Coturnix japonica: one gene and its partner. The protein of the gene in region 2 binds, or shares a complex with, the protein of the main gene of each other region. Links are inferred from orthologs where the notes say so. Each region holds a gene or a part of one and is shown on either strand. Other genes may lie near its edges.

Region 1 (4,522 bases), on a different chromosome or scaffold from region 2:
GTAGGTCAAACAACCTCACGCAGGATCCAAGCACTTTCCTAATGAAAATTTTTGCTAACATCATTAGTAATGGGAACGGGTTCTGAGAATGAAAGCCTGATGCAACCAAAGTCAATAGTAAAACCTCTCACTGACTTCTGTGGGGCAAGGACGTTACCTGTGGAGCACATCTAGATTGATATCCACTAAGTGGAGTCCATGATCAGGTCTAAACTGATTTATTTGGCATTCTAAGACTGTGCTTCTGGATCATTTAAGCAGCAAATTCCCTAGTCCAACTCTTTGAAAGGCTCTAAAAAAACTACTGAGATGTACAGAATGAACAAGAAGTTACATATTCTGCTCATAAATCATCTGTTCCACAGTACTTTCTCCTTTCTTTTATTTAGAAATTAAAACTCCTCCTGATAACAAGCTGCGATAATCCAGAGGACATTATTGCACAGTACGCTGAGTAGTAAAAACCAGACAGTTTTAGTTTCTCATCTTCCCTACTGAAAGCAGAGTATGCTATTCCTTATCAGGAAGAGGTTAGATGGGTCTGGAGCAACAAGAACCTACTACTATGAGGGCAGCCAGGGTAGAGACTAAAACTTGCTCAATGGAAAAGACAAACCACATCCAGTAAGACAAATCCTGACCCCGTTAAAGCCAGCGAATGCTCCACCACTGACATCAAGAGGGTGAGGACAGAAACCACATCGAGCATGTATAGACACTCCTATAAATCACCGAAGCTCCGCTGCTCTCTTAAGGCTGTTAATTCCAGCATGGATAGCTCAACAAGTACAGATCACTGCAGCTCCACAGACTTCGATTCATGCCAGGGAGGGATCCCGTGTGACAATTTCAATGTGCTCCCTCCCAGCTTTTCGAATGCTTTCAAAAAAGGAAATTAGTTCTAATGTCGCAGCATCCATTTAGCAAAAGACTAACATTGCTTTAAATACAGTCATTTTCCTGTGCTGGCTCCCCAGCCTGCAGCAGGCACTCAGAAGCCTAGTTAAATAATTAATAAACAACAAATCAGCAGCTTCAGTATCATAACTAAGTCTCCTTTTCCCCTGTGGTCTCTCATGCTCTATCAAAAGGATTCCACAAGCACACCAACTGCATCCAGCACGTTCTGCTGCCTCCCTTCAGCATAAGGAAGGCTAAAAACACTGCTGCTTCTGGAAGTCAAAATTAACCATCAACCTGTAAGTCCTTGCTGGAGAGCTGTGCAAAGCTCGACCCTGACCAACAGTGCTTTCAATTCCTATTTAAAGTAATTGGGCCATTTCCCTCACATCAGTGGCTTACACAAGCAAAACTCCTACTAATTCACTCAGGGGGCAGGCATAGAAATCGTCTCAGGACTTGGTAGATTTGGCCCAATGCAAATTGAAGGCACTAGAGTAGATTAGAGGATTAAGCCATATAATTATGAGTTATGTCACTAGGAAATCCCTAGAAGAAATTAATTCCACCTCACGGCTCCGACAGCTCATACGCTCTGCTTGCACCTTTATCACGAGCACCCAAGCCCTGGCAATTACACCACGCTCCAGCTACCTAATGTGCACCATATGATGCGTGCAGCACGTTCATAATTTCCTTGACCCCGCCGTACGTGGGCTGCCTGGAGACAGAGAAACTTTGAAAGCACAGCCGACACAGCCCAGCTGTGCCCACACAACCATGTGCAATCATTCAGGTGGTAACTGGAACCTCCACCTGAGGCGTTTTGCTCGGCCCTTCCGCAGCTCCTGCAGCAATTGTTGCACACAAAGAACTTTCCGAGCAGCTTTGCAATTCCAAACAGGTGAGTTTAGGGTCCTATTTACCACCGCAAGTGCCTGCGAGCGTTGCTGGGGCGAGTATTAGGAACGGCGTGTTCTCCCAACTACTCCACTTACCACCTCTCAAAAGCAATGTATTTCAATAAGAAAACACTAAGAACAATATTAAAACACCGCTTCTTTCGCACTTCGGCTAATCGCACCGGCAAATTTCCCTAAGGACACCAACGGACACCAGCAAGGAAACGACCCCCAGCCGAGCTCCCTCCGGTGCAGGGCGACTCGCGGGGTAAATGGAGAGAACAAAGCCGCCACCGGGAACAGGCGCCGGGTCTCGCGGCTCCCCCGGGCTCCATCCACCGCGGACAGCTCTGGGCACGGCGCAGCAGAGCAGCCGTCCCCGCTCCCCTCCGTGCTCGATCCCCGGGGGCGCAGCCGCTGCCCCGAAACTTTCCGACCCCAACGCTCGCGGAGCGGCCGCGCCCAGCGCCCCCCGCCGCAGCCCCCAGAGCCGGGGCCCGACCCTCAGCCCACCGCAAAGTTTCCACCCGCGCTCCCATGGGATGCGGCTCCGCAGCCCCATCCCGTCCCATCCCTTACCTGCCCCGGCGGCGGCCGCACACGCCCATAGGAGCAGGAGCAGACCCATCGGCGCGGCGCGGGCGGCGCCCGCCTGCCTCCCTCCCTGCCTGCCGACAGCTGCTGCGGAGCGGAGCCGAGCCGAACGCAGCCTCCGATGCGCGGAGCGGCACCGGCAGAGGCGGCTCCGCCCGCTGCCCAGGCACGGCCCCGACGCCCCCGCGGCTGGGGCTCCCCGCCCGCCCCCCGCCGTGACGCGCGGGCCCCCCCGGGCCTCGCCAGCGCCGCCGCCCGGCCGCCGAGTGGGAGCGGCCCCGCACGCAGACCCCGAGCTCGGCAAAGGGATGAGACCCCCCCGCGCCGCCCCGCAGACCGATGGAGCGCCGAACTGTAACGCGGATACCCGTACCTTGCCGAGGGCAGCACCGGTGTCCTTGCTCGAGTGGCTTAACTGCTCTCCCCTCCACGTCCATCAAGCTCAAAAAGGGGACAGCACTTCGGTATACTTGCAAGTCATCGGTGAAGCTGCTCCAATGGCTGTTCTAAAGAATCTCTTCACCTACTTTTTTTTTCTCTCCAGCCACAACCTCGGCTCACGCACGTAGAAGAAACCGGCTCTAGCTCGCGACCCCCCTTGAACATCTGGTTTAAAGTTGGGTTAGAGATGGAGGGCAACTACTAGAGCTCCCGTCCCACCCAAGGCTAGCCCAGGTGGTCCTGCTTGTTCGATACAGTTCCAGTCAAGCCCCAGCTGGTGGAAAGGCAAATACTCCTCACCTCATCATGCTGTAGTTAGGCTCTGCTTAACACAAAACTAGGCCAGCTTGCACGCAAAAACAAACAGTTAAATAAATGTTTAAGTGTATGTTTGAAGGAAGCTGGGATAACACAAACACTGAAATAACTGGATTAGACATAAGGAAGAAGTATTGTACAACGAGGGTGGTGAGGCACTTTGAGGCAAAGGTTGCCCAGAGATGCAGAGGAAAACCTAACCCTGGAGACATGCAAGGATGGGGCTCTGCACACCTGATGGAGCTGTGGGGGTCTCTGTTGCAAGGGGAGTTGGACCAGGTGGCCTTTAAGGGTCCCTTCCAACTCAAAGGATTCTATGACAGAAGAAAATAAATCAAACAAAATAAAAAGCAATTCTTAAGGGGCAACTGTGCTCATGCACATTCACAATAGTGTGATCAGAAGCCAGCATAGCTGCCTAATCATTAATTTAGTAAGATCACTGAGAACAGCTGTTCCTGGCTGCTAGCAGGGTGTGCACTCCAGGAAACCTCAGGGTGCTCATCTCAGCAGTATCTCAGCCATTTACCCTCCAGTTTCAGTAAACAGCTTTTGCTCCAATGTAGCTTTGTACATTCTTGCTTTTGTTTAGTGTGTCATGCTATCAGCACTGCTGCTAGCCCTCAGGCACGGAGAGGTGGATTGTATACACATATGTGTATATGTTATATAACCATAGCAACAAGAAAACAAGGCAACGGCACATCCATAGGTGAAGGCACACCCTTCTATCCCAGCTCAGTGCTCTGATGTAAGAGGTTTCTTTCTAGGAAATACAGCTATGCATCCGATTCATAGTAGCTTAGTTACATTTGTGCTTATGGAATAACAAAATCAGGCTCTATCTACACACAAAATCAAATCTAATCCAACTAAAGTTTCTGAAAAGTCTGATAGCAAGAATGAAGTGTTCCTCCTGGCAAACTAGCTAGATTTCAGGTCGGATCATATTCCTGTCCTTGCACTGCCAGCAGGACATTAAATGCTTCTTGATTTTGACCTAAATTATCACGACGTCGCTAGCTGTGTGGTGTTAAGCTGCTATTTCTTCCAGCCACAAAGCTTGCGGCATTCTGTCATTTGACAAAGAGTTCCTGACTAGGCCTGGCCTCTCTCAGAGTGGCTGCAATGCTGTTTGCAGCCCTTGGACAACAGACAATTAGAAGTGCTAAGTATTGCTTACAGCGCTGCCAAGCATAGACTCGGATGCCAGCGGATGTGCAGACACTGGAGAGACAGCAGTGCTTACACCTGGATAAACACCTCCTACTTCACAGAGTAGGAAATCTTCTCTTTTCATTAGTGGTAAGGTTCACATCCCCCAAAGCCTGTTTCCCAAGGGCTGCTTAGTGATTCATACAGGCAAA
Region 2 (4,459 bases):
TGCTGAACCCCAGCAGGAGAAATGGGAAAGCTTTGTGTTATTCTTAAATTAATATTTATTTGCTTTCTCTTCTTTGCCCATGAACAAGAGGGAGCATGAATAATGCATGGCCCTGAAGATGCCCAGATAGGAACGCTGCATCTTTGGGCTCCAAGGACTTTCCTGGCTGGGGAGGCTCCCAGATGTGCCCCATAGGAGCTCAGATGTGCACAGATGTGCACTCATTGCAATGGCAGCACAGTGCCAGAAGTGTGCACCCACCATGTGTGCTGCACTCTGCCGGGTGTGTGTGGCCAGATGTGAGCTCAGATTCCATTTACACCCCTGGCTGAAAGCACACGAAGCATTGCCGTGCCTCCAGATATGCACAAATTTAAAGCATCCATCTGCATCCATACATCTACAGATGTTTGATCAGCTGCCACACCGGGACCCTCCCAGCTGCTGTCCTGCACTTCAGCTGAGCCCTCCAGCTGTTTGAGTGCACGACCAGATGTCAACATCCCAGAGACCATTTTACCCACACAAGGTTGGGCACCAGCCCAAGGACGCCTCCAGGTGAGAACTTGTGCTGCAGCACATCTGCACCCCTCCTTTGCAGATGTTCATCCAGATGTGTGCATCAGAAAGTGGCCTCTTCTGTGTGTACAGAGGGGAGCATGGGAACCTCCCGATGTGCACACAGCTGTTTCCCTGTTTTCTCCCCATCACCCATTCCCACCTCTTCTCTCCTTTGAGCTCCCCCCACCGCTGCCAGCCTCAGCTTTGAGCTTTTCCAGCCTGGTCATTAGTGGCACCATGAGGAGCCCCTTCCCACTCCTGGGGGGTGCGCTGAGGGGCCGCAGTCGGGCTCCAATTAGCATCAGCAGGAGCCAGCTTTGAACAGGCACATTGCTTCACATGTTGGCCTGGCACATTCATAAAGCAGCTAATTGCCAATTATGAATTCGAGAGATACGTGGCTACTGCAGAGCCATGGGGTGACGGGCGATGCTGGGACCCAACACATTCTGGGATGGGCTGGGGATCCCCAGCTGCCGCTTCCTCCCCTTCCTTCTTCTGAAGCCAAAACGGAGCCCAGCTGGTGGAGCTCACTCGGGACATGCCAAGATTTCATCAGCTGCCCCCCCCAACCCCCATATTCCACCCCATTTGGGACCCCCTCACCCCATCCCTTTGCCCCTCAACCCCTCAGCCCTCACCCCCAGGTTACCCCCTTATAGCAGAGTCCCACCTGATCCCTTTGCCCCCACTCTAAAGGTAACACCCTCCCGCCCGCCACGGACACCCCCTCTCTGCGCTCCCCCCGCTCCGCACCGCTCTGGCCGCGCCCCCCTCCCCGCTGGGACTGGGGGCGGTGCTGCGGGCTGGGTCGTGCCGAGCTGAGCTGGGCTGGGCTGGGTCCGGCCGCGTTGTGCCGAGCCGTGCCGGGCCGTGCCGTGCTGGGTCCGGCAGAGCCGGGCCGAGCCGGGCCGGGCCGAACAGAGCCGAGCCGTGCTGGGTCCGGCTGAGTCGCGTCGTACTGGGTCCGGCCGTGCCGTGCCGAGCCCGGCCGGACCGAGCCGGGCCACTATGCTGCGGTACCTGCTAAAGACGCTGCTGCAGATGAACCTGTTCGCGGACTCGCTGGCGGCCGAGATGTCCAACTCCTCCGAGCTGCTGCTCGGCATCAACGGCAGCGAAGCTGCGCTCGACCTCCGCAACCTCACCGCTGGCAACGGTACGCGTCGGGTCCCGGCCCGGCCCCCGCTCCCCCTCTGTCCCTCTGTCCCTCTGTCCCGCCTTCCCATTCCCCTGCTGTCCCACTGTCCCCGTGTCCCGCTGTCCCTCTGTCCCTCTGTCCCTCTGTCCCTCTGTCCCCGTGTCCCTCTCTCCCGATCCCGCCCCGTCGCAGGTCACAGCGCGCCCCGCAGCCCCCAACTGGGACGGACCAGGGACTGTCCCCTTCTTCCCACACCCACCGTGTGTCCCCATGCCGGGGTCTGTCCCTTATCTCCAAACCAGCCCCATTTTCTCAAGCCTGTCCCTTGTCCCCAAACTGGGAGTGGCTCCTCATCCCCAAACACACCGTGTGTCCCCGAACTGCCCCTTGCTCCCAACCGACAGCGACCCGTGTCCCCATATTGCTCCCGTGCACCAAACAGGAGCAGATCTCCGTCCCCAGACCGGCTCCGTATCTGCAGACCGTGTCCCCTAATTTGTGCCGTGTCCCCAAACCGAACTCCCGTCCCCCATCCCCACAGATCGCTGCCGTGTCCCCCAGCCGGGACAGTCCCGGGGCTCAGCGGGTTCTGGAGCTGCGGGGTCGTTCTCCCGAATTTACGGCACTTCTCGAGTTCTTCCCTTTTTCTTTAAGCCCGAACTTTTTGCTCCTTTTGGGTCCAGGGCGGCCGGTCCGCGCTGTGAGCCCCGCGGGACGCCCCGTCCCACCGCAGCCGGCTGGGCTCAGGAGGGGGCACCGTGCGCCCCCCCCCCCCGGTGCCAATTATCCCCGTGCCCAGCTGCGGCCCCCGCCCCGCTGCTCCCCCCGACCCCCCGGAACTCTGCAGCATCCCGTCCTCATGGCAACGCTTCTACCCCCATGGCAACGCATCCTGTCCCTATGGCAACGCATCCCACCCCCTTCCCGGCAGCGGTGCCTCCCCCCCCTCCCGGGTCCCTCGTCACGACCCCCCCGGCCCGTCAGGCCGCCACCTGCGTGTACCGGGCACTGCGAGGCAGCGCTGCCGCCCCGCGGCCCAAACCCGAACTGCAGCTGCGGCGCTGCAGCGGTCCCGCATCTCTGAGGTCCCGCACGTTTTCTTCCCTGCGCCCTCCGCCCCCCCAACCCCACCAGCATCCAGCAAAAGGACCAGGGAGGGGACACACCGGGTGCCATGGGGGGACACCAGCTCCTCCCCCTGCAGCCTCAGCCTCCTTCCCTCTCACGCCGTTCTGCCCGCACACCCCTGGGCTGTGTTAAACCCCTCCCCAGGCTCCCACCCGCGGCTGGAGGACTCTGCTCCCCGCATCGTGGAGCACCCCTCGGACCTGCTGGTGTCCCGGGGTGAGCCGGCCACGCTGAGCTGCAGGGCAGAGGGCCGCCCATCGCCCACTGTGGAGTGGTACAAGGACGGTGAGCGCGTGGAGACGGACCACGAGGATCCCCGCTCCCACCGCATGCTGCTGCCCAGCGGCTCCCTCTTCTTCCTCCGCATCGTGCACGGCCGCCGCAGCAAACCTGATGAGGGCGTCTATGTCTGCGTGGCCAGGAACTACCTGGGTGAAGCCACCAGCAGAAACGCCTCGCTGGAGGTGGCTGGTGAGCCCCAGTTGCATGGTCCCCATCTCCACATCCCCATCCCCATCCCCATCCCTATCCCCATGGTTTTGAGGTCCCACATATCTCCAGCCCTACACCCTTCTTATTCAGAAAATAATTCCTTTTGAGGGGGATCTGGGGAGTCTTCCAGACTTCCTCTGCTTCCCCCTTGTCACCTGTGATGTGGGCTGTGCAGTGCTGCGGGACGATTTCCGTCAGTCCCCCGGGGACGTGGTGGTGGCAGCGGGTGAGCCGGCCGTGCTGGAGTGTGTCCCACCCCGCGGGCACCCCGAGCCCACTGTCAGCTGGAAGAAGGACGGCGCCCGGCTCAGCGACAAGGACGAGCGCATCACGGTGAGGGCTGGGAGACCCCAGAACAACGAGGTCGGTGTTTGGGCCTCGTCTGAGTGCGGCTCCCCGGCAGATCCGCGGTGGGAAGCTGATGATGGCCACCACGCGCAAGAGCGACGCCGGCATCTACGTCTGCGTGGCCACCAACATGGTGGGGGAGAGGGACAGCGAGCCGGCAGAGCTGGTGGTCTTTGGTGCGTGGGGATGGAGCGGCAGCTTTGGGGTCTGTGCCAACATGGGGCACTCACAGCTGCTGCCCCTCAGAGCGCCCCGCGTTTGGCCGACGGCCACAGAACCAGGCGGTGCTGGAGGACCAGGCGGCTGAGTTCCCTTGTGAGGCACTGGGGGACCCCCCGCCCACCGCCCGCTGGCGCAGGGAGGACGGTGAGCTGCCGGCGGGAAGGTGAGCGGGGTGAGGGGCTGGGGGGCGGCAGGTTCCAATCGGGGGTGTCTGATGTCCCACATCACACTCACATTTCATGTACTCATCACACCCCACAACCATCACACCCCACATCCTTGCTGTGTCCTGCACACTCACTACATCATGCCTCTCCATCCTTACTGCCCCCACACCCTCCATCCTAGTTGCATCCCGTATCCCCATCACATCCCCATCATATCCCACATCCCTGTGGCACCCTCGTGGCACCTGGTGCCCTGTCGGCACCGTGGGCTCTGGGGTCTCTCCCCAGGTGGGAGCTGCTGGCTGACAACACACTGAGGATCAGTCGAGTGCGGGCGGAGGACGAGGGAACCTACACCTGCATGGCAGAGAACAGTGTGGGCAGGTCGGAGGCCTCGGGC

Evidence for each region.
Region 1: the proteins of ROBO3 (region 2) and NELL1 are in contact, whole or in part, in a crystal structure (PDB 6POL), measured with the Homo sapiens proteins. The link is inferred for Coturnix japonica from reciprocal best matches to the Homo sapiens genes ROBO3 and NELL1. Residues at the interface, in NP_071765.2 of Homo sapiens: Ser553, Pro555, Val590, Glu592, Phe594, Pro596, Asn600, Thr601, Trp602, Thr604, Ile624, Leu626, Arg630, Gly633, Ala634, Trp635, Gly636, Leu637, Ser638, Glu639, Pro646, Val647, Arg648; in NP_006148.2 of Homo sapiens: Ala440, Lys441, Met442, His443, Tyr444, His446, Tyr458, Arg468, Val469, Asp470, Asp471, Phe472, Ser473, Asp478, Ile492, Cys493, Thr494, Asn495, Thr503, Cys504, Lys505, Pro506.

What each region holds. Positions count from the first base shown.
Region 1 is NC_029520.1:1,773,665-1,778,186, reverse strand, and holds the start of NELL1 (protein kinase C-binding protein NELL1), read right to left. Parts: upstream 2,849-4,522; 5' UTR 2,834-2,848; coding exon 2,770-2,833; intron 2,531-2,769; exon of another isoform or gene 2,431-2,530; coding exon of another isoform or gene 2,382-2,430; intron 1-2,381. UniProt on the Homo sapiens protein: Plays a role in the control of cell growth and differentiation. Promotes osteoblast cell differentiation and terminal mineralization.
Region 2 is NC_029539.1:195,720-200,178, reverse strand, and holds the start of ROBO3 (roundabout homolog 3), read left to right. Parts: upstream 1-1,362; 5' UTR 1,363-1,572; coding exon 1,573-1,720; intron 1,721-2,974; coding exon 2,975-3,301; intron 3,302-3,497; coding exon 3,498-3,655; intron 3,656-3,725; coding exon 3,726-3,846; intron 3,847-3,916; coding exon 3,917-4,055; intron 4,056-4,347; coding exon 4,348-4,459. UniProt on the Homo sapiens protein: Receptor involved in axon guidance during development. Acts as a multifunctional regulator of pathfinding that simultaneously mediates NELL2 repulsion, inhibits SLIT repulsion, and facilitates Netrin-1/NTN1 attraction.